Rhinolophus ferrumequinum: one gene and its partners. The protein of the gene in region 1 interacts with the protein of each later gene in a biochemical or structural test. Links are inferred from orthologs where the notes say so. Each region holds a gene or a part of one and is shown in the gene's direction. Other genes may lie near its edges.

Evidence for each region.
Region 2: the proteins of ACVR2A (region 1) and BMP2 form a complex in vitro, tested with the Homo sapiens proteins (3 studies listed by BioGRID and IntAct, with this or other methods). The link is inferred for Rhinolophus ferrumequinum from reciprocal best matches to the Homo sapiens genes ACVR2A and BMP2.
Region 3: the proteins of ACVR2A (region 1) and GDF2 form a complex in vitro, tested with the Homo sapiens proteins (2 studies listed by BioGRID). The link is inferred for Rhinolophus ferrumequinum from reciprocal best matches to the Homo sapiens genes ACVR2A and GDF2.
Region 4: the proteins of ACVR2A (region 1) and SYNJ2BP form a complex in vitro, tested with the Homo sapiens proteins (2 studies listed by BioGRID and IntAct, with this or other methods). The link is inferred for Rhinolophus ferrumequinum from reciprocal best matches to the Homo sapiens genes ACVR2A and SYNJ2BP.

The regions. Positions count from the first base shown.
Region 1 is NC_046291.1:71,832,120-71,840,130, reverse strand, and holds the start of ACVR2A (activin receptor type-2A), read left to right. Parts: upstream 1-4,999; 5' UTR 5,000-5,523; coding exon 5,524-5,578; intron 5,579-8,011. UniProt on the Homo sapiens protein: On ligand binding, forms a receptor complex consisting of two type II and two type I transmembrane serine/threonine kinases.
Region 2 is NC_046306.1:27,878,181-27,885,530, forward strand, and holds the start of BMP2 (bone morphogenetic protein 2), read left to right. Parts: upstream 1-4,344; 5' UTR 4,345-5,536; intron 5,537-6,734; 5' UTR 6,735-6,741; coding exon 6,742-7,084; intron 7,085-7,350. UniProt on the Homo sapiens protein: Growth factor of the TGF-beta superfamily that plays essential roles in many developmental processes, including cardiogenesis, neurogenesis, and osteogenesis. Induces cartilage and bone formation.
Region 3 is NC_046299.1:62,336,613-62,343,541, reverse strand, and holds the start of GDF2 (growth/differentiation factor 2), read left to right. Parts: upstream 1-3,907; 5' UTR 3,908-4,085; coding exon 4,086-4,431; intron 4,432-6,929. UniProt on the Homo sapiens protein: Potent circulating inhibitor of angiogenesis. Signals through the type I activin receptor ACVRL1 but not other Alks. Signaling through SMAD1 in endothelial cells requires TGF-beta coreceptor endoglin/ENG.
Region 4 is NC_046289.1:26,979,295-26,986,468, forward strand, and holds the start of SYNJ2BP (synaptojanin-2-binding protein), read left to right. Parts: upstream 1-4,172; 5' UTR 4,173-4,294; coding exon 4,295-4,358; intron 4,359-7,174. UniProt on the Homo sapiens protein: Regulates endocytosis of activin type 2 receptor kinases through the Ral/RALBP1-dependent pathway and may be involved in suppression of activin-induced signal transduction.

The DNA.
Region 1 (8,011 bases):
CTAGCCATTGCCCGATTTGATTTTTTTATAGCCAGATGTCTTTAAAGAGTTATTTCTGCTGCCTCTAAATTCTTATTTACCACTGACCCTTCAAACATTTCAGTTTGGCTTCTGCTGTAACTACTGTCAAGGACATTTAATTCTCTCCACGATGTCGTATCGAGTGAGTATTTATTTATTTATTTATTTATTTATTTATTTATTTATTTATTTATTTATTGTCCCTCAATTTACTCATGTCTCTACAGGAGTCAGTACCACTTCTATCACCCTTTGTAAAACACTGTCATGGATGACATATCTTTCTCTTGGTTTTTTATCTCATCTCTCTCCGTGCTACTGTTTCATCCCCGTTCCTCACTGTTAATCCTCTGCTTGCTAAATTTCTTTTCGCGTTTACTCTCCATTTAGAGGCTCTCATTCATTTCCATGAACTTTAATACCATTTATTTGTGTGCTGACAATTCCCAAATTTCTATGTGTAGAAATTGCATGCTCCTCTACACTTCAGTCACCTGCATCCAACTAATTACTTTATATCTCCATTTGGATGTCTCATTGGCAACTCAAATTTAACATTTTCAAGATTGAAAAATTTCACTATTCGTGTCTGCATTCCCTTCCCTATAATGTCTCTCTCCCCCTCAATCTACCCCATCTCAACAAATGACACCATGTCCACTCATTTGCTCAAGAAAAAAAAGTAGGAGTCATCCAATTCATCAGTAAGTCCTGTTGATTCTACTTACAAAATAGATCTTGAATCTGTCCACTTCTTTCCACACTAGTTCACAGTACCAATAATCTCTTGCCTGACTTACTGCAACACCCTAACTAGTCTCTCTAATTTCTTTGGTAATTTCTTGCAACCTGTTCTCCAGATAAAAGCCAGAGTAATCTTCTAAAGCATAAATGAGACCACACAACTCTTTTACTTAAAATTCTCCAATGGCTTAATGCTTTACTTTGAATAAAATCTAAGGACCTTACTTTGGCCTACAAGATCTTGCATAGTGTGGGCCTGTACTGCTCTCTTTATTTATATCACTCTCCTCGTTGCCATGAGAGCCTCCTTTCAATTTCTTGAACATATCATAGGCTTTGTACATACTATTCCTTCTTAACTAGCTCCTTTCACGGCTGTCTCATTTTGTAGGTTTCGGTTTAAGTGCCACTTCCTTTGTAAGTTCTTCCTGAACTTACATTGTCTCTAAATAGGTCCCCTCTTTCTATCTAACCCATCATTCTTATTCTTTATCTCAGCATCCTGTCTGATTTTATAAATAATCCTTCCCACTTGAAAATTACTTTTTACTTGCTGTTTTTGTCTTCCTCTTGATACTGTAAGCTCAGTGAGGGCAGAGACTATATTCATTGCACTTCGCTATACAATCGCTAGCACAAATCCTATAGCTAATAGTTACTTGTCGAATAAGTGGATACCACAGATAAAGATGGACAATGTAGTAAAAATGACTAATTCTTATGCAGTCTTGCATTATAGAATTTTAGAACTATAGCATCAAAGCTTTATTCAACATTTTAATCATTTGTTAAAATGGATGGAGGGCACTATTTTTGAGAGTCTTGCGTATATTGCCTGTCCTCTGCTCCAGTGCCTTTCAAATTATCTGTGGTGAATTTCCAATCTACGAGACTTTTGTAAAATACAATAAAATTGAATTACAAAAAATAAAAACAAAAATACCAGCCCAATTTTTCTTATTACTAGCTTCAGCAGACACAAAATTATTCTGTCAAGTTTCTACAAAATTTTTTAAAGCATTTATCAATGTCTGCACTAATCTCACTGAAGATTATATTACTAGCTTAGTGTAGCCTTTTCATCAGTGTTGGATACATTATTTCCACTGTAACTAGTTTCTCTTCAACTATTCTCACTTTTCTGTCCTAGACTATGCTGCCTTAATGTTTTGTCCCTCACTTATTCTCACATCCATATTCTCAGTATTTCTTTTTTACCTCATTGGTACAGCACAATGCTATGGATAGACCTAAGTAGAAAGAGAGGTATAACAGCAAAAGCTAGGATATAGGAATTTTTCTTCCCACCTTGTGGGAAGATGAAGAAAGATTCAGTTTGTGTTGCTTATATGTAGCTGTTGTTACGTCCGAAAGCAGGTGAATACCTTAAGATGAATTTCCTTCCACTATATGCCATACTACCCAATATCAAAAGCAAGTTCAATTCCAGCTTCTCTTTAGAATTCAAGGTTTAAGCTTAGTCCATACTTTTTTGAGCCTGATATATCAGTTTCTAGGGTAAAAAGAAACCATCCTTCATTCTGGAAGCAGTCTGTGACCCTAATTTACCTGTCCCCTCATCCAGCCATCACACACTTGAATCTCTAGGTTGAACAGGCTTCTCAAGGTTCTTCTAGCTGGGAATAATTTGAAGTTCAATTGAACTTTTTGGGGGGGACTTTGAACTTGAAATTCTATCATTGGACTGGCTACAAAGCCAGGTCTCAGGTTTGGGGATTGAGTTGTTAGCTAAAGTTGTTTAACACATAATGTCTAATGCTATGGGAGACCAGAATTCCTTTCGTGTTTCCTTTTCCTCACCTTTCTTCCTAATCCAGTTTGTACAGCTTGCACTGTGTTAGAGAGGTATTGGATTTGTAGGACAAAAAAACAGTGATTCTAGAAAATAGGAAGGAAAGAGGGGCAATAGGGTCAGCAGCAGTTTACCTCTGTCTCCTTTTTAAGCTTTGGAATTCCAGTGGGAATTAGTCACGTACTCTTATGTCTTAATAGGTTAAATTATTTTAAAAAATGCAGAAGGTGGGGTAAACACAGATTTAGGAACAAAGTAGATAACTACCGGTAATGGAATCTAACTTTTCCCATGGTGCTATATTAACTCTTTATTAGAGAAGAATATTCTAGTGAAGACTTTGACTTATTGCTCCTCTTTCATACTACAGAAAAATAATTTTCATCTTTTCTTACATTCTTATAGTGGGGAATTTGGGTGGTAAGATAAAGGATGTATTTTCAAGTTTTAGTTCTATTACTGGTTATTCCAGTTATTCCACTTGCTCTGGTTTCACAATTCAAAAAATATTGAAGTGATGCAGAGATAAGACAATAGTGGGGCCTGATCCAGGGTATAACCGACATCAAATTCCTGAACTGAAGGTGGTTCTAAATGAAACACACTCTCCATTCCAGAAACGTTAGCAGCAAGTCTTAATTCAACAAGCTAATGGAAGGTTTGTATTTATTCCTCTGAACAGCTCATAAAGTCCAGAGAACTACATAATATGAGATCATTTAGATACCTTGAAGATCAACTTGGGACTTTTCTTAACTGTTGCACAACATGAATCAAATTCTGAGCACCATGACTTGAAAACTTTAAACTCTTGGAGAGTTTAAAGTGCCACAATGATTGCTAATAACCCTGTTGTAGAAATGGGCAGACAATTACAGGATGAACTTAACAGAAATACAGAGTAATTCAGAAGAAGAGAAAAATAAAACACTGTAAATACAAGGGAAAAGGCTTGGCTTTGTGGGAAAAATGTGGGAATTCATAAGCTACAAGCAAACGATGAATTAGCCATACAGTACAATTGCTTTATTATTTTTATTAATAAAACATTCGGAGAGTACATGTGAGAATATAGGATTAAGAAAACGGCTCTTACCCGCCAGTCATTTATGCAATTATTTATTAAGCACCCATCATAGGCTAGACACTCTAAGTGTTGAGATAAAACGGGGAAGAAGCCAGATAAGATCCCTCCCTACCTTCACCCAGGTCGCTAAAGTGTGGTAAATGACAAAGCTAGTATCTTTAATACTGACTTTAGTTTGTATTCGGCAGACACTTCGAGCACAGCAAACACTGTGAGCTTCTTCAGGGTAGGGATCCTATTTTTACATTTCGGATCGAACTCCATGCCTAGCACAGCACCTTGTAAGCAATCAACTTCGACTAAGTGTGAAAATAGGCCCTAAAAACCTAAAATTTGAAAACGTAAACACTTGTCTGACCATCAAACACGTCGATCAAAATCTGCAGGTTTCCTCTTCAGCGAGCAATAGATATTTGCGAACCTATTACGTGCAGAACAGCTCTCAACACAATGCTTTGTGTACTAAAAGGGATGGTGGGAATGGATTCAAATTGCACATCGTGATAATTGCCGTGGATATCCCGACCGGGTGGACAGCCCATCCTCCGCGAGGTTTTTTTTTTTTTTCTTTTTCAGCCGAGAGACAAAACGCTTAAGCCACCGGGGTGGGATGCATCGCTAAGACTGGGCGGCACAGACACCCACCCGTTCGCGCGCACCGAGCTCGCTCCGGCAGCTCGGCAGGCACGGCGGACCGGCTCCCACCCGCGGCTTCCCGGCGCCCGGAGTCTCGGAGCGGACGAGGCGTCCCCCCAGAGGAAAGACAGGGCGCCGCAGACGCCCCCCTGGAGGAGTCACCACCACCCGCCCCGCCTCGAGGTCCTTGTCTTCTTGGGCTCCCTCGGACCATTCGGGCGTGCGCTCCGAGAGGCCGGTGGGGCGCGAGTTCGCTACTTGGCGCTCCGGAACCCCACCGTAGCCACTCGTCCACCCACTGGAACCGCACAGCCCAGCAGGCCGAGCAGGCCGGACGCCGAGGCCTCGCGGTATCGAGCCTCCGTCCGCCCCGCCTCCTCGCCCTCCAGCCGGCCCCGCCCTCGCTCTCACCCCTCCCCCGCTCTCACCCCTCCCCCGCTCCCGCCTCACTTCCCCGACAATCTCCTCGCGCTCCCGGCCCGGCACGCGCGCCGCGCCTCTCAGCCGCTACCGCCGCCGCCGCCGCCGCGGAGCGTTCCTTCACGGTGCCTGGCTTCCAGCTTCGGGCCGGAACCGGAAGTTTAGGGGGCGGGGCCGGCGGAGGCCAAGGGACCGAAAACGCGGCCGAGCCCGGAGCCCGGAGCCGGAGCCAGAGCCTGGACCAGAACTTGGCCGCCGCCTGCACCGCCGCCGCTGCCGCCGCCCGCCGCTCCTTCCCCGCTCCGCTGCCGCCGCGGCCGCCACCGCCGCGAGCTCAGCCGCCAGTGGTCCGCGGACTTTGGGTGTCCGGGTTGAAGGTCGGTCCGGACGTCGGACCCAGCTCGGTTCCCGGACTGTCCGGGCGGCAGCGGACGCCGCCGCCGCCGCCGCCTCGTCGCCTAAGCCTGGCGTTTTGTTCCGAGAGACCCGAGAGGCGAGCCGAGCTGACAGTGATTTTGACAGTGATTTAAACCCGCTTTTGTTGTTGTTGGCTTTTCGTTGTTTGGTTTTGTGTGTTGTGCGTGTGTGTGGCGGTTTTTTTCCCCCGTGGTGCATTTTTTTTTATTGTTGTGCTTTTTTTTTTTTTCTTTTTTAACCCCGTGAACGTTTTTCTTTTTGGTCGGGGCTTCCGAATATGTTTTATGACGGTTGATTTTACACCAGGAGGTTTGTCTCCGAGGAAGACCTAGAGAACTGGATATCTAGCGAGAACTTCCTACGGCTTCCCCGGCGCCTCGGGAAAATGGGAGCTGCTGCAAAGTTGGCGTTTGCCGTCTTTCTTATCTCTTGTTCTTCAGGTAGGTGCATGGAGCGTGTCGCGGCGGGGCTGCAGCCGCTGCTGCCGCTGCTGGCGGCCGCGGTTGTTGTTGGGTCGGCGAGCTCCAGTGGAGGCTGGGGAGTTTTTCCCCCCACCCCGAGCCCCTAGGTTGCCACCCCCAAGGTCTGATTGCGATCTAGAAACCTCCATGAATTTTCCTCGGTTTGCGTTAGGTTAGTAACTGATAAGAGTGACTGTTGTTGTGGAAGTGAGAAAGTCATGGTTTTGTGGCCATAACACTGGATGACAGCGCTGGTTGGGTTGCAATTCAGCCGCAAATACCACAAGTGACAATTTATGCAAAGGTTTGAGACCCGAAAGGTGTATTCCAACATGTCATTTAGTGTGGCATCCTCCAAAATAAGGGTTTCTTAAATCGTCTTTTAATTAGTGCTTCACCAGTGACTATCAGGGCAGAGATCAAGTCAGTTGTTACTTAATTTTAACCGTGAGAAACAATGCATCATATCGGCGGTTTCATCTGGGTCTTCCCTCACGTTTTCTTCAACTTCAGTGTCCAGCAGTGTTAAAAATAGTTGTAGTTGTTGTTGAAGTATTAACTATAACCCAGTGCAGAAGAGGTATGCCGCTGCGTGTTGGTAATATGCTGGCTTCCAACCACCATTTATGTGCTCTTTTCTGGCAGAGATTTTGCTTACCTACGGAATACTTATTTTAAACGCGTTGTATTGAAGCATTGTTTTCCATTTGGAACAGCCCATTTGAAATTGTTCATACTGTCAGATGCACTGAAGTCATAAAATAGGTTTTGCCCCAAGGTTGGGAGAATAATCTGGCCTTTTGGTATTTGAAATTTTGATTTTGTGAGAACGTTCAATGGTTGCAACCAGTGGTTGGAAAACTGTCGAGTCTTTTGTATTTGAAATTCTACAAAAGAATACAGCATGTAGCTGAAAGGTGTGCAAAATGTACATAACAGAAGAGTTAGGTTGGTAGATGAAATAATGTTAAAGTCGCAGTGGATCTATTTAACATAAAATTCAATATTCAGTAACTAGGTTGTGAGAGAGAATTATGGGGGGTGGGAGGAGGAATTGACAGGTTTCATGGCCATATCTTTATCTCATTTGCCACAGGGAAATTAGAGGGTGGTAGTCTTTTCTTTGTGTACCTCTGTGGGGTGTGTGTGTGTGTGTGTGTCCGTATTGGTCTGTCCTCCCCACCCCCCTTTTTAATAGAATCTTTTGTAATGTATAGAATTTTGCTGAATGGTACATTTCCTTGTGGTTAATAAATGGATAAAGTCTAGTCTCATGTCTGTAGTGGTATTGATCAGTTCCGGGTGGGCTGAATGTGTTGTGAAATGGCGATCATTGCCAGAGATTAACCAAAAGAATCATGTCTGTTTAAATGGAAGAAGGAACATGCTTAAAGCAGGCTGACAGTTCTTTTTGTGCTCCGTTAGGGGAGGAAGATAAACAGTGGTGTCTCTGAAATGAATGAATACCTTGATAATATTAAATCTCTTGCTTTTGAAACATGGTTTAACCATGAGGTTTGTATTTTTCCTGTACTACTCTTTCTCCTCTGCCCCTATATGTTCTGGTTGGTGAACTTCTCTTGTTCAAATGCCTCTTTCTGATCTCCTGCCCTTGAGTAGGAGGGGCATCATGGCCACTGACCAAGGAGTTGTGGACATTATTCTCTCTCAGGCTCACCTGAGTAACACTAATTGGTGCAGGAGGTTATTCTTGAGCAGTCTGGAGGTATTCTGGAAAAGCAGGCTGTCGCTACAGACCTTACAGCTCCCTTTGCTTGGTTTGGGAGTAAAAATAATTGAGCATTATTTTTTTATAGGATTATTTTTACTGAACCAGGAGGTTAATTTTGAAATAATTCGTTCATATAGAACATATAGATGCTCTCCCTACATTAGACTAGTATTAAATATTGTTACATAGTTTTTTAAATAAACATTCCTAGTTGAACTAAAATATAATTTTATTGAAAATAATTGAAATAATCGTAAAGACTTTAATCCATATTTATACACGAAGATTTTTAGTACTTAAAATGTCTGATTTTTTTTAAAGGTCTTTTGTTATAAGTCAAATGCTGTCTATAAAAGGATTATTATGTTTCTTTCCTAATTGATTTTTCTATGTAATTTGTAACCTGGCATGTTTAGGAGCATGAGGATGGCTATTTTTATGAGAATTGAAAAAAATTCAAGGTTTCAGTTTTTTGTTTCTGGGTATTTTATTTTATTTATTTTTTTTATCAAATGGAGAATAGTAGTAAAGAGCAATTTTATTTCAGGTATAGGATGGATATTTACTGTTTTCTTTAGTACTTGTGGACTTTGATTTTTCACTTTCTGAGGACTGATTATGCAGACTATTCTTGTAGGGTATGGCCAAATGTATAATTTCCTACTCTTGTTCTAGGGGAA
Region 2 (7,350 bases), on another chromosome or scaffold:
CACAGTTTCTTCATCTGTAAAATGGATATAGTAATACCCACTGAGCAAGGTTCTAGTGAGAACTAGGTGAAATAACAAGTGCTGATAAAAACCCACTGTTGCTAATGCTGACGTTCATAAAGACTCCTTACTGATCCTACAGAAATTATACTCACTGTGAATATTTCTCTCAAATGCCCTCTCTTCTATGAATTTTGTGAGTTCACATTTCAGAAGAGAAATTGTTCTCCATTAAACCTGCAGCACTTTTTTCCCCACTTATCTTAAAGTTTTTATACATACATATTATATTTATTTCCCTACGAACATGTTCCATCTCTTCTGCTGAATTTTAAACTCTGCATCATGGGCAGAGATTATGTATGTTTGTATTACTATTTCCTGGAACCGAAGAGAATAGTGCCATGGGCTAATAGCTGCTCCATAAATATCTGGAGTCTGGATATGTAAAGAGAAATACTATCATTGACTCTTTACAATCCAATTATCACAATATCAAAACAGTTTAATGTCATTGACAAGTTAGACAAATACATTGATATTTGGTACTGAAATAATACTTAACGGATATCTAACACAACCTATTGGAAGACCAAAATTATTTTTCAGATGCATGTATTTATTTAGCATTCATCTTCGCATTTTATTTTTCACAACAGCTGTGTGAGATTAGCTATTAATCTCTATATATTACTCACGAAGGAGCTGAGACTATGAGAACTGCTTGAGCCTTAGATTGACTCAAGCAATGACCTTTCCAACAAAATCCCCACTATTTAGCAATATGATAAAAGCCATTAGGAAAAAAAAAAGAAAGAAAGAAAAAAGACAAAGTCCTGTCTCTCAAAATCAGGTTATAATATTTCAGGCAGGAAGCTGAAAAATACATTTAAAGATACATAAAGTAGCAGTTAGAATCTTGTGTATGTAGGGCATTAAATTCTCCAAGTCCACACATATTATGCATTTGACCTTCATCATGCCAACTGAGGCAGCCAGAAGAACAGACATTTATGTACCCCGATCAACAGATGAGCCGAGAGATGACCATTTTAAATTTAACATCCACTGCCGAACCAGAATCAGAATCTAAGTTAGCCGACTATGTCTTGGGTTATGATCAACATATTTATAGAACGCCTACTGTGTGCGTCCTAAAATACAACCTAGTCTATTCACAAAATTGATTTTTTTTTCTTAATTTTTAAGATGAAGTCAGTATTTGCCTGAAAGCAGTAAACCTGACTTGGCGTATTAGGCCTAGTTTTGCAAATAAATCACTCCACCCCACCCCTTTCTTCTGACCATATCTAAACATACATCAAATAGGTAAAAGTTTGATTGACTAAATGCTGCTTTTTTGCTGTGCCTCTGGGTTTTTGTGAAAGAACCTCATCCAGTTGAAGTAAGTAGAATTGGTGTTGGGTGTCACAGGCGTTACAAAGCAATACGTATGTTAAAAAGCCGAGAGGTTTCTCAGAGGAGTTGCCACAGGTTTCAGTGGCATGACAATTACCAGGTGGATGGATCATTTAACGCCTGCTATGACCTTTACAATAGTGAGGATCATTATTTTAAGGTTAATTTGCATAATGGTTGGCCTAGCAAGAACAATCCTGAATGCTAATAGCTGCAGGATGCATTAACATTCAACGTTATCTGGGCTGAACTGCTAAAGGAAAAGTTGTTAATGTTTGACTCTTTAAGTTTCATCTCAGGTCGTGTCCACACATAATCAAAGGAGGATTTCTGGGATCTCTTCAAACACTGGCAAGAAATGACTGGAAGGGAATAGCAACAACCTTCTTCAGATAGCATCCTTACCTGGTAGGCTTTGCTATTTTGTACATAACTTGCCTGCTGTCTCTGAGGTAGCTGAGATCACCCCTCCCTCAAACAACCCACCCCCACTCTTGCCACCCTCTACATCTTGCACATACACCATATTTGATACACCGAGCGAGAATGTATCTCACCTTTTGGGCTGAAAAACTTTTCCTGAACCTTTGAAAGAGGTAGAGTTGACCAGGCTAGCAGCAGGTGATATTTTCAAGGCAAACAGATCCTATCACGTCAAAGTAATAACCCTGCATTCTGAGCTGCAGGTGTAAGGTGGCTAGTAGCAAAGAGAATAAAAACAGATAGGTCATCTCCATTTAGATTTATCGATTTTTAATATTCCTTATTGCCTGGAAATGGATAGGTATGGTTATCCTGTACTTTGTATCCCACATCGGTCTTTGGAAATTGTTTATTTACTTACTTATTAATGTATTGACTTTTCTCCCAAGCGTTCGAACTCATTTCCACCACAAGAGGGCAGCCATCTCTTAAAAACAACCAGAGAGCCTGGATCTTCAGAGAAAATGGGGCCACAATTTAGGAAGTTGTGCTTGTGAAAGGCATTCAGCAGTCCCTCAGAAATTGCATACTTACACATAAAAGAAATCCTGTGATGGGCAGCACTGAAATGGAATAGAGTGTCCACAAATGGCCAGTTTTCCCTCAGATTCATGACTATCGAAGATTATTTCGTAAACTGACAAGGTGCCCCTTTCGCAAGTTATGAAGGCCTAAAGCTGCAAGACATCCTGATGTCAGCACCAGAGATTTAATTTTCATCTTTACTTAAAGAGCATTCAAGACCAATCCACTTTCTCCTCTTTACAAGCTACATACTGATTTAGGTCTCACAAAGTTTATTTCGTTTTTTAAATCTCGCATGTGACAGAAACAATTGTTAACTTCTCAATTAAACTTGATAGGAATGGAAGTAGTTTCGGAAGCACAATCAACACTTTTCGACTTGCATCTATGAGTAGAATGTGTTCTATTGCCAACTTGTTTGATGTCCAATGATTCAGAGTGACACTCAACTTCCATGGCACTTTATTTTCAGGGGGGGAAAGCATGTTCTTGAATATTTTGCCCACCCCAGCCCCTCATTTATTTTCCTAGTAGGTAAGCTTCCTCCAAAATACCTTATGTGACCTTTATACTCTCAGAAACAGTGAGTGCCTAATTCACCTCTGTGGGTTGCTAATCCGATTTACATGAGCAGAACCTAGAATTATTTTAGCTTCCCAACTGAAAAAATAATGCACATGGATAATAGATTGTTATGAGCTCCCGCTTCAGACTTTTCCCTTTCTGTTTTACAGGCTTGAGGTTTCTGTGTGCAGGCAAATTTGATTTTGCTATCTGGCCTATTCCAAAAATTTTCTGCCCTTGGCTTCTGGGATCATTCAGGCAACTTAGTTGTGCTTTGCATGGAAGATCCTGGAATCCTGAGAGGGACAGAAAGCCTGGGAGCTCCTGGTGCAGAAGATTTGGGAAATATTTCAGCTGAGGAAGACAAGTGACTTGGCCAGATGTCATAAACCTGCGGGGGGCCTGGTGGAGGGGGGTGGGACAAAGATTCCAAGGTCTCAAACCAGAATTGTCTTATAGGCTTGGCTCACACTGTGAATTATTTTACCGTCCTCTGAGCTGCTAATCGCCTGCCTCTGAGCTGGGTGAGATAAATATCACAAGGCATGAAGTGATTGCTACCATAAAAAGAAATAAAATACCTCTCATCCTCTCTTCAAACTGATACACACACACAGTCCAAGTTGCACATGTCATGTATAGGAGGATGACATCCATGTCACATATACAGACATATTTATGAAAATGTGTACTTTCGTTAGCATATATTTACATATATGGATATATTTAGAGACATACACGCATATTTTTGTATGTTACATATATTTGTCTGAAAAAAATACGTGCACATTTATATAAATGTATACACATAAGTTATACAAATGTAAATGCATATATATATATATATGTATGTATATATGTAAAAGTTTAAATAACACCCAGTTTCCAAATCCTAGTTTTCTTTTCATTCTCCTCGCACTCAGGGAAACACCAAGTGACTACCCCAAGCTTATGCCAAGATGCTTTGTAACTTCGTTGAGTTTTTCTTTTTTATTTAATCGTCTATTACCGAAAAACTTCAAACTGAAAGTTGAATAACGGGCCGGGTAGGGAAATGAGGGCTCAACCCCGTATTTGTCCCGGATTTCACCCCGGAGCGCCAGCGAGGGTCTGGCGCCTCAGCAGCTAGCCCCTTTGAGGTCAGAGGCTGGAGGCGCGAGCGCCCCCCTCGGCGGCCGCGCGTCCCGGCCCTCGGCCCCACCCCGCCGCGGCTGCCCCGGCGCGCCGTCCACACCCCTGCGCGCCGCTCCCGCCCGCTCGGGGATCCCCGGCGAGCCGCGCCACCGAGGGGGAGGTGTTCGGCCTCGGCCGGGAGGGAGACGGCAGGCGGCGTCCCCTTTAAAAGCCGCGAGCGCCGCGCCACGGCGCCGCCGCCGCCGCCGGAGTCCTTGCCCCGCCGCGCTGCGCTGCGCCCGGCTCGCGCTGCGCCCGCCGCTCCGCTTCCCACACCCAGCCTGGGCTTGGCAGCCGCCGCCGGACATCAGCCGCCGCAGGCTCCGCCGCTGACCCGAACGACCTCGGGGCGAGCGCCTCCGGGATTACTGGGGTCTCCGAGGCACCCGCGCGCTTCCTACTCCGCTCGGGCTGGAGCGCCCGGCCGTGCGCGCCACTGAGCCGTGGCCTCGGCTCCCCGGGCCGCGCCAGAACTGAGGACCCGCGCGCAGAGCGCGGGGGAGCCGGGAGTCGAGACTGAACGTGGGGATGCCGGGTACCTCCCGCCGGAGCTCGGGGGCCTGGGACGAGCCGGACGAGGTGTGATCGGACCCCAGGCTGGCCACAAAGGTTCCAGCAGCTTGGCCCGGGGACTAGGAGAGCAAGGAGAGAGCGGGGCCACCCGCCTCGGCGACCTGGGACTCGGCTCGACTCGCCGGAGAATGCGCCGGAGGACGACGGAGCGCCGGAACAGCGGGGGTTGCAACTGGCTGGCGCTAATGGGGGTGCGCTGGAGTAAGGCAGAGTGATGCCGGGGGGCACCTCGCCCGGCACCGAGATCGCCGCTGCGCCCTTCCCCGGACCCGGCGTCGCCCAGGATGGCTGCCCCGAGCCATGGGCCGCGGCGGAGCTAGCGCGGAGCGCCCGACCCTCGCCCCCCGAATCCAGGAGCCGCTCCCGCGCGGGGCCAAGCGTCCCGGGGGCTCTGGTTCCTAAGGACAACGACAGTACCAGCTTTTCCTTTCTCCCTTCCCTTCTCTGCCCCGCACTCCTCCCCCTGCTCGCTGTTGTTGTGTGTCAGCACTTGGCTGGAGACTTCTTGAACTTGCAGGGAGAATAACTTGCGCTCCCCTGCTTGGTGCCGGTGCCTTTGCCCCAGCGGACCCAGCCTCCGAACCCTACCGGCCCTCCACTCGTCCGCTGGGCCCATTCCCGAGACGCGGTTCCCTGCGTGAGGAGAAGGACTACCCGGACGACACCCGGGAGGAGAAGGAGGAAAAGAAGGGAACTCGGTCCCTGCTCCAGATCCTTCGGCCAGAGCTTTTTCCATGTGGAGGCTCTTTCAATGGACGTGTCCCCGCGTGCTTCTTAGACGGTCTGCGGTCTCCTAAAGGTAGAGGACGTGGGCCCGGGGCTGGCTCTGGGGGTGGGGGGTGGGGGGACGCGGGGCCCTAGCAGCCGCTGTGGCTGAGCTCCAACGGGACCTCGCCAGGCGGGACGTAAACAGAACCCCCCCCCAAGTCCACGTGCAGCCGAGCCCCTGCTGGGATGCCCCCATCCTACCGCCCCTGGCGACCGTCAGCATCGCCCTCCTGGCTCGTACTCTTCCGCCCCTCCTCCCACCTCTCTCTTCGGTATTTTATTAGGGCTGTTAACACTTAGATGATTAAAGAAAAAAGTCAAAGAAATCCCTTGGGGAGGGTGGCCCCTGGATTTCACCCGTTAGCTGCCAACCTGTATGCCCTGCCATGGCGATCCCTTCTGCCTTCTTCAAAGTTCTCCAGGAGCCCTGCTGTCTCTACTCAGAGCTACGTCCCATTTGGGAAAATACTAAACGTTGGGGTTCTCCCTGCTTGTTTCCAGGAATTCGAGGGGGCAGTACTTCAGTGCCACCTTGTACTAACATGTGAATTAATAGATAAACATTTTTGTAATCCCAGGAAGAGACATGTGTATCTGAACCGCATTGGAGGGGTGGGGCGAGGGTCCGGGATTGGAGTGTGGCCTGTCCTGACACCTCTGAGTTTAGAGACGTGGGCCACAAGTTGCAAGTGGCTTCGGAAGTTGTGGCCTTGAGTTTTCTGGGTCTGGAAGTTATAGTCTATGTGTGTGTATCAGGAAGTTCTATACAGTGCTACTAAGGAAGTCACATGCACCATTCGTGAGTGTTTATATGCAAGTGAGCGCTGGGCAGTTTGGGTTTGGGTTTGCTTAGGGGACAAAAGGGTGTCGGACCCAGCAGTGGTTTTCCCAGGTTCCCTGAACTGGCCGTCAGCACGAGTATCACTTAAAAAAAAAAAAGAAAAAAAAAGGTGACAGTCGCTGACGCTGGTGGGGGGGGAGTGGTGCAAATCATGTCAGACGACCTGAGAGTGGGATGGGAGGGGGAAAGCCTTCTAGCTCAGAAACTAGGGCCCTTCCATTCTCCCAAACGTTGGAGCTTCAGCCGCTCTGAAGTATCCCTGAGTGTTGCAAGCCAGGTAGGCACCCCGGAGGAGGAGGCAGGTGGACAGAACGGGAGTCGGGCCGCCGGGCGGAAGGGGGGAGGGCTGGGCGGGGAACTCGGTGACTCACGTCGGCCCTGTCCGCAGGTCGACCATGGTGGCCGGGACCCGCTGTCTTCTAGCGTTGCTGCTTCCCCAGGTCCTCCTGGGCGGCGCGGCCGGCCTCATTCCGGAGCTGGGCCGGAGGAAGTTCGCAGCGTCGACTGGCCGCTCCTCGTCCCAGCCCTCGGACGACGTCCTGAGCGAGTTCGAATTGCGGCTGCTCAGCATGTTCGGCCTGAAGCAGAGACCCACCCCCAGCAGGGACGCCGTGGTCCCCCCCTACATGCTGGACTTGTACCGCCGGCACTCGGGCCAGCCCGGCGCGCCGGCTCCGGACCACCGGCTGGAGAGGGCAGCCAGCCTCGCCAACACCGTGCGCAGCTTCCATCACGAAGGTGAGGTGTGGGACAAGGGAGTGGGGGCGGGGACGGGGGCGGGGAGTCATCCCGCGAAGCGCCCCACCGTGGGCAGACAGCAGGCATCCCTGGAAGGGCAGCCTGGCCAGGGTGCGGAAGCCGTTTCCCGTCTTGCCTCTGTTACGAACCTTTAGGAACCTGGCTTGAACACACTGCCTGTGTGGTGGGGGAGCCAGGGATTCCCCATTGGTAAATCCGCACCCTTTTCCTGGCTTGCAGCCAGGAGAGCGACTCCTCCTCCAGGA
Region 3 (6,929 bases), on another chromosome or scaffold:
ATAACTTGCAACAAAAAGAACTCTATATGATACATTTAAAATTTTTTAATTGTAGTAAAATACACAACAGAATTCACCATTTTAAGTGCACAGTTCAGCGGCTTTTAGTACTTTCACAATGCTATGTGACCATCACCACCATCCATCTCCAGAACTTTTCACGTTACAAAACTAGAACTCTGTACCCATTTATCAATAACTCCCTTCCCCTCAACCCCTGGTAACAACCGTTCTACTTTCTGTCTCTATGCATTTGACTTCCCTAGGTGCCTCATATAAGTGGAATCATACGATATTTATCCTTTTGTGACTGGCTTATTTCATTTAGCGTGTCTTCAAGAATCATCCATATTGTGGCATGTGCCAGAATTTCCTTCGTTTTTAAGGCTGAAATATATCTATATCTATCTATCTATCTATCTATCTATCTATCTATCTATATCTATATCTAGTCTTATTTTACTATAATATAAGACCAGATATAATATAATATAATAATAATAATAATAATATAATATAATATAATATAATATAATATAATATAATATAATATAATATAATATAATATAATATAATATAATATATAAGACCGGGTCTTATATAAGACCGGGCTTTACATTTATTTTTGTTCCAAAAGACGCATTAGAGCTGATTGTCTGGCTAGGTCTTATTTTCGGGGCAATGATATATATATCACATTTTGTTTATCCAGTCATCCATCAATAAACACCAGGGTTGCTTCTACCCTCTTGGCTATTGTAAATAATGCTGCTATGAACATGGGCATACAAATATCTCTTTGAGACTCTGCTTTCAATTATTTTGGGGATGTATTCAATACCTATAAATGGAATTGCAGGGTCATATGGTACACAATTTAGGGGAGATGAAGAGGGGGAGAAGAAGGTGAAGATGATATTTTGTGGCTCAATTAAGGTAGCCCTTCCGTGAAGTCCCAGCAATGAAAAGCTGGTAGCAACAGAAGCATCCTTTTGTATGAGGACCCCCACATCTTCTGTAAAAGAGAGAACAAGACCCGAACCTTGTTCCCTAAGACCCAAAGTTAAGGAGATCTGTCCAGATAGACCAAGGCCGATTTATACAGAAAGGTAACAAGGTCTCTGAAATCATACCGCTTTGAGTAAAATGGGAGTCTGGGCTGTGACCCAGGCTCCCCATAAAAACCCAGAGTTTTGTAAGAGAGGGTAGCATGGGATCAGAATGTGACCACAGCTGGCCTCTTCTCTCGACCCAGCCACCTGCCGCAAGGACGTGCCTTCTGGAGAACAGGTAAGCCTGAGATTGTGCCTAAGAAAGCTGATACCTTGGTGCCCAAAGGGAGACATCGTGGAGACCGGGGCGAAACCTGGACCAGACACAGCATCCCAGCAGCTGCGCACAAACAGCTGTTAGATGTGTGTGACCCGTCCCCAACAGCAAAGCCAGTGTCACTAAGAAGCAACAGCAGGGGAAATCTGCTAGGATCCCTTCCTCCTTCCCCGCTTCCAGCAGTAAGAAGCTGGACTGACGCCATCCCACCTCCATCTCCTTTGGACTAAATAAACCTACAGTGCACTTTGACCATTCAGGAAAGAGATGCCCTGAGAGGAACAAACTAGACTTTTCAATAATATGGATCTGAGGCCTCATGCAAGTATTTAAAAACAATAAAGGAGATGCAGACATATTGATACTCTGAATGTGTGGGGCCGATCATTCCAGAAATTCACAGGCATGTTGCATTGCACAGCGCTGGGGGTGCCACCCACATCAGTCTTATGATGTGTGACCAGTGCCTCCAAGCCTTGTTAGTGTGCAGCCTCCATGGCCGGATTGGTGACCCGACCCCACATGTAGACAGGCCCACAGTTCTTTTTCTGAGATTCCCAAACCCGAAACTATCAGAAAACCTGAAGTTCCTTTTAACTTCTTTCATGGCAGAATTTGATCTGAATGGATACGTGGGCTTGTTTCTTTGTTTCACTGCAGAAATATTAATGTTTTTGTTTACAGGGTATTATCCCCAGCCCCACGGGAGATATTATAGTACACTTGCCGTACCAAATTTCCAAACTCTGAAGCTTTCTGAATCGCAAAACACTCCTGGCCACAAGGTGTTAAATAGGGGACTGTGGAAACTGCATCTATCTGAAAATATTAACTGTGGGCATCACCAGACAGAGAGAGTATAGTTTATTTTTATTTCCTTCTTTATAATGTTTTGCTTTTCCCAAATTATCTGCACCATACACTACTATTATAATCAGAAAAGAAAATCTGTCATGTTTTTAAGGAAACATCAGGTAGCAGCCCCTTGAGCTTTCCTGAGCACATTCAGGCCACCCCCATGCATCCCTTGGCTCCGTCTGGAGTGTGACAGATTTCTGGCTGCCTCCAGGGCCTGGAGCTGGTGGGGGATCCTGCTTTGCTCTCCAGCTCCGCCCAGACCCCTCCCACTGCACAGCTGCAGCTCCACTTCCCGGACCTTGCACCCCTTCATCAGCACAAGAGTTCTTGCACTGAGCTGGCTCAATGCCCAGCATGCTTCCTGCCCCCTTTCCAAGCAGCACTTCTGAAGCCATACCCTTCCCATCCATTCTCCCTTGGCAGTGTCCCCAAAGATGGGGACAGCAAGTTCTGTCTCGGCCTGGCTACTCGGGGCCTCCTTGTGTCACCCTGCCTCCACTAGTAGTGGGAGAAAAGCTGGGCGTACACTGGGATCTCTGACCTCAGCCTGCCATGGCTCCTCCTACATCTCCTGAGCCTGCTCAGCTCACTGCCACCCTCCCCAGGAGCACCGCCAATGTGGAAAAGCTTCATGTTCCAATCCTCTTCAGAGGAGACCCCCAGGTATTTTTAACTGTGTTCATTCTTTGCCTTGTTCAAAATCACACATGATGGAAAAGGACAGAGGCTGAGTGTGGGCATGATGCTTTTAAAATGACACAAGTTCTGGGGCCTCGCAGGACCCTACTGTGTTCTGTTCTCAGGCCAGGGCATGTACTGGCTTCAGAGCTCCTCTCCCGCTGCTTTGTCTCCCCAGATTGCATGGATCCCCTGATGGAGGAAGGTGGCCTAGGCATCCACCCCTCTGACATGAGCAAAGACTCCCTTGAAGACCAGTGACATAGCTCTTTTGGGGTCCCTGTGGAGTCCGTAGTGAGCAAACTGGGATGCATAGGGCTTCCTCCTCAGCTCCCAGCTCAGTCAGACCTGGCATGGAGAAGTGGCAGCCAGAACGCAGCCACGCAATTGACCAGGGCTTGCAGGGACTGCCATGACACCAAGCACGCAATTATCTAAATCCTCACAACTCTCTTCTGCACCAGAAGTGACTTACTTGCTCCAGAGCCCACTGCAGGGAATAGTGAGGGAGCTGGAATTTGAAGCCTCACCTTGTCTGTGCCACCTCACTGAATCATGTACCACATTCACGTGTGATCTCTAATGGCCGGGAACTCGCTTGGCAGATGAGAGACGCAGGTACAGAGCACGGGAGCCACACCTGCAGGTCCTGAGCCCACAGCCAGAAGGCCTCTCACACACCCTGCTGCGGCCCCCACCCCACCACCCACTCCAGCCCGGGTCTGCAGGATCCTCTGGGGGTTTTGTGTTGTTTCTATATTTGGAGGACTTTTTGGTCATGATTGTTTCCTGGATTCTTTGTTTCTGTGGTCCAGGAGATGGAGCATATGTCACCCCGTCTTGAGGTTCTTTTGAACAGAGCTGACAAGGAAATGAGAAAGGATCCTAATTAAGGGGCGATAACCCCATGGAGAAATTCGGATTCTTTGCAGCAGGCCCTGTCCTTCCCACAAGCCCTGCGTGTTTGTCAGATGTTTATAGAGCCTTCATTAACGGAGAGCTCCCTTAGATAAGAGGTTGGAGCTTCGCATTGAGGGCCAGATAAGAACAAGTGGAGGACACTGGGACGGCGGGTGAGAGCCTGGGAACTGGCCAGGGTGCTTGGTGCAGCGCGCTCGGCAGGACGATGCGGGCCGGCTCCTCCTGCGCTGCTCCCCACACCCGCTAAGCCCAGGTGGCCACCGGCAGTCTCCTGTCCAGGGCAAGCTCGCCGTCCCAAGATGTGCCACGGGGCGCTGTGGGTAGCTCTGCCTGTGCTCTCCCTGCTGACCTGCTCTGGGCAGGGGAAGCCTCTGGAGAGCCGGGGCCGGACGCTGACAGCGGGAGATGCCCATCGCCTGCTAGGGGGGCCCGGAGGTGAGCACGGAGCGGGCACCTTCGACCTGAGGATGTTCCTGGAGAACATGAAGGTGGATTTCCTGCGCAGCCTCAACCTGAGCGGCGTCCCCTCCCAGGACAAAACCCGAGCAGAGCCACCGCAGTACATGATCGACCTGTACAACAGATACACCACTGACAAGTCGTCCACCCCGGCGTCCAACATCGTTCGCAGCTTCAGCATGGAAGGTAGAGTGGGCTCCACCTGGGCTCCTGCGGGTGGGGTCAGGGCCACTCAGTGGTCCACAGCTGTGCCGCCCAGTGTGGCGGCCCCGGGCCACACGCGACTCTTTAAGTTTCCTTTTCAGGGAATTAAAATGAAATAAAATTAATAACTTAGTTCCTTAGTTTCACTAGCTTCGATTCAAGCGTCCAACAGTCACATGTGGCTGATGTCTATCCTGTAGGGCAGATCATGGAACATTTCCGTCATCGCAGGAAGTTCTACTGGATAGCTCTGCTCTAGGAGAGTCTCCTTCCCTGGACCCAGTGCCAATTTAACTCAGGGGGAGCTTCGGGAATGCCAGCTCCCTTTCTTCCACCCCTTGCTTTCTTTCCCCTTCTCTCACTGGTCCTTTCCCACTTAGAAACAGACAACTCATTTAGCCTCCAACCAGCTGGTATATCTTTAAACATTGAAAGAATGTCTATTTCTCGCTGATCAAAAGATGTCTAAAATTCAGATACATTCCTCTGAGAGCTAAATGTTGGAGGACTACTCAATTATTTTCTAAATATAAAATAATTTCCCTGATTTAGGAGGACTAGAAGAAAACAAACATTGACTTAGGGCTTCTGTTCACTAATCACACAATGTAGGTAAAATGAGTTTGTGAGCAGGGAAGCCAGGCTTGCAGAGGCTGTAGGAACACTCCCAGGTCACATAGTAGTTAAGTAGCTGGATTCTGACCCAGGCCCGTCCGTCTGCACAGCTCAGGCGTTTCCTGCTGCTGCCATCTCCCGCTAAAGAAGCAGCCGCACATGGCCTCCCTGCTCCTGGGCTGAAGTGCTGTAAATCCTGACAGGCTTTGCTCGGAGCGCCAGCCGGCAGCCAGGCCTGCCCGGCCTGCAGAGTGTACACCCGTCTCAAAGACACTGTTGTGGTCACATTGTATGCCCAGCTGTGCCAGATTTTCTGATTGCCCAAAAGAAAAAGAAGAAATCTAGATTTTATGTGAACTTGCCTGATTTTTAAAACACAAGCTTTATTATTTTTTTAATGCCATCTACCAGCATCTCCCCAGGCCCATGGGGCATGTCTGTAAGCTCTGCTTCAGAGGAAGGCTGGGCTACTTTGGCTGGACCTAACCACCAAATCCCATCGGGGAGTCCAGCATTTAGAGTCATGTCCCCACCCTCCAGCATTGTCCATGTCCCAGAAACAAGTGCTCTGATCTGATCCCAGCTCTGCCTATGGCCAGCACTCCTGTGGAGACCAATTATGCTTCCCTTTACAGACTTCACAGATGGTCCGAGTGTGGCTCGGGGGCTGGGGGACACTTGCTTTCTAGATGTCTGACTGCCATCCCACAGCCATTATCAAGGCATGCCACAGGAAGAGCACATTAGGTCACTAATGCACTACTCACAGACCCCTTCATTACTCATGTCACAGCAGCTCGGCACGTTCTGCAGGAGCTGGAGTAGCTGTGAGGGCACCACAGAGAACTGTGTGAAAGGCCACATGCTTTGGGGGAGGAAGGTCGGGGGAGGACACAGGAATGTTGATTGAGCATCTTCTATGAGCCAGGGACAATGTTGGGTAAGTTCCATGCACTGTCTTGTCGAAGCCTCAAACCAACCCTGGGAGGCAGGAAGGATGAACCCCATTCTGCAGATGAGAAAACTGAGGCACAGAGAGACTCAGGACTTTTCCAAAGTCATACGCCTAGGAAAGGGCAGAGTCAGGATTGACGCTTTAGTCTGAGACACAAAAACCTGCTGGTTTTCAGGACAGCATAGAGTCTCCCTTCAGTTGGCACATAGTAAGTGCTCACAAAATGCAACTCTTCTTCCCTCTTTGTGACCAAGCCATGGTATAATAGAGATGTGCTAATGGCCATGAGTCAGTCAGAAGAAGTAGGAAACTGAGACAGTTGTGTGGCTAACAGGCAAGTCCCATTTTTGCCTGACATGAGAAAGAAGTTGAAGCTCATATATTTTTTTTTCCTCAAACATTAAAAAAATCATCCACTTTCACTTTGCCCAGAAGTTACAATTCTGAATGATTTTTGCACTATGTAGATGCAGATTTTTAATATTGTCTTAATGCTAGAATTTTACCTTCCCCCCCAGGATCTCCCCTTTAAAATCATACACTCAGGATCAGCACTCAGAACTTGACAGTGAATGTTGCTGTTTTGTTTCATTTGGTTCTTTTTTTTATAAGTGAGGATCTTTACAGAATGTGTGCACTTTGGCTGCTAACCAACCTAAAGCCAGTTTCCACATCTGTAAGAGCGGAATAGTCATTAGATGGTCCCAGGGTCAGTGTGAAGAGTCAAGTGAAATTTAGATGCAAAGCTCTCAGTGCAACTCTGGGCCCACAGTCGATGCTCAATCAACATGCGGGCCTGCTCACTGCAATGCACGGCGTCTCCTGCCTCTGCTTCTCTTTGGAAGATCCTAAACCTACCTTTCAAAATACTCTGCTACATTAAAAGCTTAAGTGAAACAAAAGAGAGATT
Region 4 (7,174 bases), on another chromosome or scaffold:
CCCTTTTTCAAAGCCCCCCCCCCCCCTTCAACCCTCCTCTCATCTGGCAACCATCAAAATGTTCTCTGTATCTATGAATTTGTTTCTGTTTTGTTTGTTTGTTTATTTTGGTCTTTAGATTCCATATATAAACAAAATCACATTGCATCTGTCTTTCTCTGTCTGACACTCCACTCAGCACAGTACCCTCCATGTCCATCCATGCTGCCGCAGATGGCAAGAACCCATTCCCTTCCATGGTCTAGCGATATTCCATTGTATATATGTACCACCTCCTCTTTACTATTCTTCCATTCACAGACACCCAGGCTGCCTCCACATCTTGGCCATTGTAAACAATGCTGCAATGAAAATATGGATGCACAGGTCCCTTTGAAGTAGCGTTTTGGGTTTCTTCGGAAAAATATTCAGAAGTGGAATTATGGGTCCTTCTTTGTCTCATTATAGTCTTTGTTTTAAAGTCTGTTTTGTCTGGTGTAAGTATTGCTAACCCAGCTATTTTTTTTTTCCCATTTTCATTAAATAATTTTTTCTATCCCTTTACTTTAAGTCTGTGTGTGACTTTCTATCTGAAGTCTCTTGTAGGCAGCATACAAGGGGTTTTGTTTTCTTATCCATTCAGCCACCCTATGTTTTTTTATTAGAGCATTTAATCCATTTACATTGAAAGTAATTGTTGATAGATATGTAGTTGTTGCCATTTTATTATTACTAGTTTTGATTTTTTTTTCCATCTTAAAGAAGTTCCTCTAATAGTCCTTGTAATACTGGTTCAGTGAACTCCTTTAGCTTTTTCTTGTCTGGAAAGCTCTTTATCTGTCCTTCAATTTTAAATGATAGCCTCGCTGGTAGAATAATCTTGGTTGAAGGTCCTTGCTTTTCATCACTTTGAATATTTTGTGCCAATCCTTTCTGGCCTGCTGGCGATAAGGTCTTTAAAGAAGTAAATAAGTTAAAATGAGGTCATTAGGATGAGCCCTAAATCAATACAACTGGTATCTTTATAAGAATAGGAAATCTGGACACAGATCTGTACACACACAGAAGATCGTGTAAACACAGAGGAAAAAGACAGACATCTACATGCCAAGAAGGGAAGCCTGAGAAGAAACCAATACTGCTAATACCTTGATCTTGGACTTCTAGTCTCCAGAACTGTGGGAAAATAAATTTTTATTGTTACGTCACTAAGTGTGTGGTATTTGTTATGGTAGCTCTAACAAACGAATACAATCTGATTAAATGTAATAATACAAAAAATGTGTCAATCACAAAGGGGTTTAATCACCTCATTTAAAAAAATATGCAAGAGTTTGAAAACAAAGAGGTCAGTTATAGGGCAGCAAATTGGAACTAATGCCTATCAAAGGAGAGGTGGTTAAGTCCTAAATACAAACACATCCATGAGTTAGTCATCAAGAGGCTGATAGAATAAAATATTGAAGTAGGAGGGGGTAGAAGCAGACAGGAGATTGGAAAGACAAAGTGAATACATGATATGAAATGTGCAAAAATAGAGCAAGTTATGGGTAAAGTACCTCAAGGTATGAGGCAAAGTTTCCACTAATCTTGTAAATAGGCTGAAGTCACCAAGTTTCATAATTTTTACATATCTCAAGGTCATAAAGCCTTAAATAGAAAGGCTAGTTCAGACAGAAAGTGTCGCTTTGTGTGTCAGAGACTACCAATGGCCTCCCAATATCCGTTCTCATCTTTTAATTTATAATAGCAACCCTGATTTTAATTTTTTTTTTTTAGTTGGCACATTTCCATTCCACTAAAATACATCCTAGGCCTCCCTTATAGTTACATTTAACCATAAGACCAGGCTTCTGGTTAATGAGATATAAGAAGTGCATGAAACTTCCAAGAGGTCTCCATTAAAGTATGGAGTGGACCTTTCTTTGCCCTTTCTTCATTACTTTCTTGGAATGTGAAAATGATGGTTGAAGTTCCCAAACCCATCTTAACCATCTTGGACCATGAAGCAAAGGCCACACTCCAGGGATGGGACTGGGTGGAGACAGAAAGGAAGGAACTTGGACCACGATGACCGAGCAGCCTCAATATCAGGCCTGAACCATCTATTTCCAGAGTTCTTTAATATGAGAGAAACAAACTTCCATCTTAGCATATTGCATATAAAATTAAGTGTATATTTCTGCATACACTTCCTCCACAATCTGTTTTCCTCCACAGTCTGTTTCTAGCCTATTTTTTCAGTGTCATCACCTACCATCCCATTCTGCTTTTTCGCTCATGAACTCTATTTGCTATTCCTTCACTACTCCCATCATTATCCTGATTCCATAATTTTTCTCAATTGTTTTCTCTGAGTGGAAATCCCTATGTCCTGTTTTCTGCTTCTCTAAATATTAAAGTTTCCTCATTCTTAAAAAAACTATACTTACATTAAGATATAAAGGCAATTTACACACCTAATCTGTCACTCCACTTACAGCCAGCATTTCCTGAACTTATTTGGTATCTCTTTTCTTTTTACTGTCCTTTGTGTTTCTGCTGAAGCTGTGTGCCCAGATGAAAAGGGCACTCTCTTCCCAGGTACAGAGTAGTGATTTCCCCCTTAGTAGTCTATAAAAAACTTTTTTCCTCCAAATTTCTTCATTGATGACTTTCTTGATTTTCTTTTCTTATTTCTATTTGATCTCTTCTCTCTTGGTATTCCAATGTCCCTTAGTTATACCTTAGTTTTGTCACTTATCATACTCTGCTTTTCATTATGATCCTGTTATTCACTCATTCAACCAACATATGTTGAGGACGGTTGGGTGTGACAGTAGTAGGAATATGAGTTGGAAGTTGAGATGTAATTTTTAAAATTCCATCTCATTTAATCCTTTCAACAACCTTTTAAAAATCTGTATTATTCCCTTTTTTCAGATGGGGGAACACAGGAGATATTATGTTCCCTGCTCAAAGCCTGACAACTGGAAGAAGATGGAACCAAAACTTGAGATCAGGTCTTCTGACATTACCTCCTGTGTTCTTTCCACTATTCCATATTAACTTCTCTCAGGATTAGCAAATAAGAGGCCTTCCTGAGGAATCTGCCTCTTTCTTGTTTTGTTGCTAAACACAGTAGCTTCTGTTTTGATTATTTAATCTGAATTTGAATTGCATTAATTGGAACTGCACTTTTTGGTCCTCCAAGGTCCCCACTACTTCCTGTGGTCTGTCCAGGTTTCTTCCCACATTTAGATCACCTTCCTGGCCCTTCAAGCTTGTAAATTTTTGACCCTTGACAGTTCCTTAAAGCCCTGTTTTGGAATTCTACCTCAAAAGTCAGGAAGCTGGGTTGAAGTCACAGCTAGTTCATCCACTAGTCTTAAAAAAAAAAAAAAAGGTTGACTTTTCCCTGTTACCAAAATGAAGAGACCTCTCCTCCTTTTCCTTTAAATGATTTGCTTGAGCAAATCTGTAATTATAAATCCTTCCACTGTCCCATTGATATGTCTATAAATATTTTTTTAAAGCTAAACAAGCCTCTAGTCAGGGACAACTCAGGAAAGTTTTTCTCAAAGTCCTGGGAGCCAACTCTTTGAAATGTAACTATCAGGGAAGATATTGTCCCACCTAACTTTACTATAGGAGTTACCCTAGGTGCCATGCTCCAAGCTTTATGTACCTGCTTGTCGTAGAGATAGTTTTATTTTTTTTCTTTGGATAATGTCAAGTAACAGATTGTAACCCCAAGGGCGACTTACCAAAGAATGTATATAGCGAATGGTGTTGTTAACTTCTTACATGAGAATATGCACGTAACAGATTGTTCAGCTTGGCTACATAAAAGGGTGAGAGTTCTGTCTTTGTAATCCCATTAGCGGATTTCCTGAGACACCCAAACCAGGCTGGTTTAATGCTTACTGAGTAATAGAGATTTTTTTCTTCTTTTTTTCTTTTCTTCATTTGTGGAGATTTTCTGAGATGGCAGGAGAGTTTATTTTTAATTTTTCCTCGACAATATCAATTTATTTATGTCTCTTACTTTTACTATCCTTCCTCCCCCCACCCCCAAAGCAAATTAAGAGGGTATCTTGCTCCTCGCTCACTTCTCAGTTCGCTTTGAGGACTGGGTGAGGTAACGCAACGCGTTCCGCGCCAGAACCACGACTCCCAGCATTCCTGACGCTCCCAGCGCTGTCGGCTTCCTCTTCCGGTCCGAGGGCAGCTAAAATCGAAAGTGGTGTGTTTTGGGCGCCGCGCCGAGATTGATTCACCTTCACCTGTGCGAGCCCTAGTTGACCCAGGTGGGAAGCCAGACAGGCAGTAAAACATGAACGGAAGAGTGGATTATTTGGTCACTGAGGAAGAGATTAATCTTACCAGAGGACCCTCAGGTATGTGCGGAACAGGTCATCTTTGGTAGTAGGTACTTGAGGTGTAATTGCAGAGCAAACACCTCTTTTGCTGAGCCAGATTCTTTTGGCTTCGGAGCAGGCAGGCCCCAAGCTAGAGGTTTCCTGCAACGCTTTTGAGCACGTAGAAGAATATATTGGTATCCATCATTAGCCAGACATGGATCTGAGGAATCCACCTCATTTTTGAGTCGGATACCACATGTATTTATGGTCATGACGGGTTTCCTTTTTGCTAAATGGTACCAGAAAATCCTGGGGGAAAGCCTGCTTTTTAGCCAGCATACCGTGAACACCACACCCCTCCTTCCATTGCCTGCTTTATACCTGTTCCTATGAGAGACTGTTTAGTAAAAATGGGAGCATAAATGGTGTGGACTGTAAATACTCAGCCGTTTTCTTGGTGCTTGTATCCCTCGCTCCCCTCTTGTTTGTGGGAAAATGTCAACTAGAATATTAAAGCACGAAGAGGCCTCAGTGATCTATTAGAGCAGTTCCCAAACCTGGTTTTGCCTCAAAATTAGCCAGGGTTTTTGGGTTTGCTTAAAAAAGCACAACAAAACAAAAAACCCCAGCAACTTAATTCCTAGATCCCATCTCTAGGAATTTGGACTCAATGCAGGTGTTTTATGGTTTGGGTTTTTTTTTCTTTTTCTTTTTTTAAACAAGCGCATATGCTCTGGCCTGCCAACAGTTTTCTGTTTCTTGACATGGATAGTGGTTACCTGATTCTGATACGGCCAAATCCTCACTTACCCCTACAGTCCTCTTACCCCTGATTACTCTTCACTCACTCAACATTACTACATGTTAACATCTTAACATTACTACATGCTGCCTGCCTAGAATTTTGTTGCCTTTCCTTTACAGCTCTCTAGGGTATGGATTCAGAGCTTTAGCTTTGAGATTATGTAGGTCCAAATCTGGTACCTAATCTCCTACTAGTTCTTTGACATTTATTCTTTGACCAGTTTTACTGATGTAATTCTTAGTTTTTGGTCTGTAAAATGTGCACGATAGTACAATGCGCATCATAGAGTTAGGAGAACAAAATGAGTTAATCTGTGTAAAACATGCAGAACATTGCCTGACACTTGGTAAGCACTACGTAATTGCTACTTTTGTTATTATTTTTAATAGATGAATGGTTAGATAAACACAGTAAATCCCACTAAATACTGTTATTCCAAGAGTCTCCAATAAGTCATCAAGTACCATGAGCTCTATCTCTGAAATGTTTCTGTAAACCTTCCACTCCTTTCTGTTCCCATCACCCGTACCTGGAACAGTCCATCATCTTTTCTCATATCAAAGATTATTCTCCATAAAATATGGCTTTCAGAATCATCCATGCCTTCTTTCTTGTTATAAAACATTGGAAACTGACTTTATTTATAAGAATATAATTCATTGCTAATCTGCATGGTTTAGTGTCATGCTCCATACGAGCTCCTAAACTTTTGTCAAAAGCTCTTATTCCCGTCTCTTAGATTCATTTTTTTCCCTATTTTATGTAAATTTCTCCTCTCACTTAATTTTTATTGACTTTACAGGCTAATATGGCAAATTATTGTTAAACCAAAATCTGTTTTTCTGTGGTTTTCATCAATTGGTGCTTGTTTTCCTAGGGTCCATTAAGACAATGGGAATACATTTTCTGATTGCCCTGCAAATATATTTAATGGCATCTAGCTGTTCTTCTGTTTTGTCTCTTCCTTCTATAGCCTAAATATGCCTAGTTATTACATTAGCTCTCTTGTGATGTGGTTTGAGGTTTGACTCCTAGGAATTTAATGTACTTTGAGAGAGTCCTTTTGCTGTGGTATCCAGCAGTATTTCCAGGATCTCTTAACTAGAGCAGAGCAGACTCTGATATTATTTGCATGTTCTAGTCACTAAATATTTTTAAAGTTCAGTAGTATCACTTCACCTTTTTTAGTATTTACCTAACAGTGTTGCTTAATGTTCAGCTTACCGTTTGCTAAAATTTCTGATCCTCTTGATCTTGCAGACCTAAAGTTCCTAGTGTTAGCATTTTTCTGAACCACTGGAGTTAGAACAAACCTCAAGGGACTAATTAAGAAAAATAATTATACCTAGCTAATATATTTCACCCAGAAGCAGTTTAATTTCTGGATTGTATGTGCATTTATTCAAAATGAATGAATGGATTTATTCACTGGGTCACTGCTTCAATTTTCCCAATCATGTTCATGTCTTACTCACATAAGTTGATAAACTTGAGTTTAGGAGAGTAGAGCCACAAATTTTGTATTGAACTTGGATTAAAACAGTCATTTGAAGTTTGGTTGGTTCAGTTAACAGGAAAAGATATTAAGTTTCTGTTTATCACCTCACAGCTATTTACCAGGTATGTGGTACTCCTAAGAAGTCTCACAGTCTAATTCAGCTTTTCTTCATTGTGTTATCATGGAGATACACAGAGAAGAAGTCAGTTATCACCACTAGAAACTTCCAGTAATTTTGATAGTCTCATAGAGATCTTTATTTTAATAGAACTATGAAAATCCTCTTGTTCTCAGTATGCATTTCTGTTTGTAGACAGTATTGTCACTGTTTGTCTTTGTACAACTTCCTATGCAGGGACCTGATAGTTTAATCAGGTAACTGCAAGAATGTATATACCTTTGTTTTTTGTGCCAGTGTTGTCAGGGGCAAGAGTGTTGGATATTTCCAGTGTTTGGGCCCATTTTGCAAGGCAAATGAACTATTCTTTCTGATCTTGCTTATTGCAAGGAAAATAATGAAATCTTAGGAAAATTGGGACAATGAAGTGA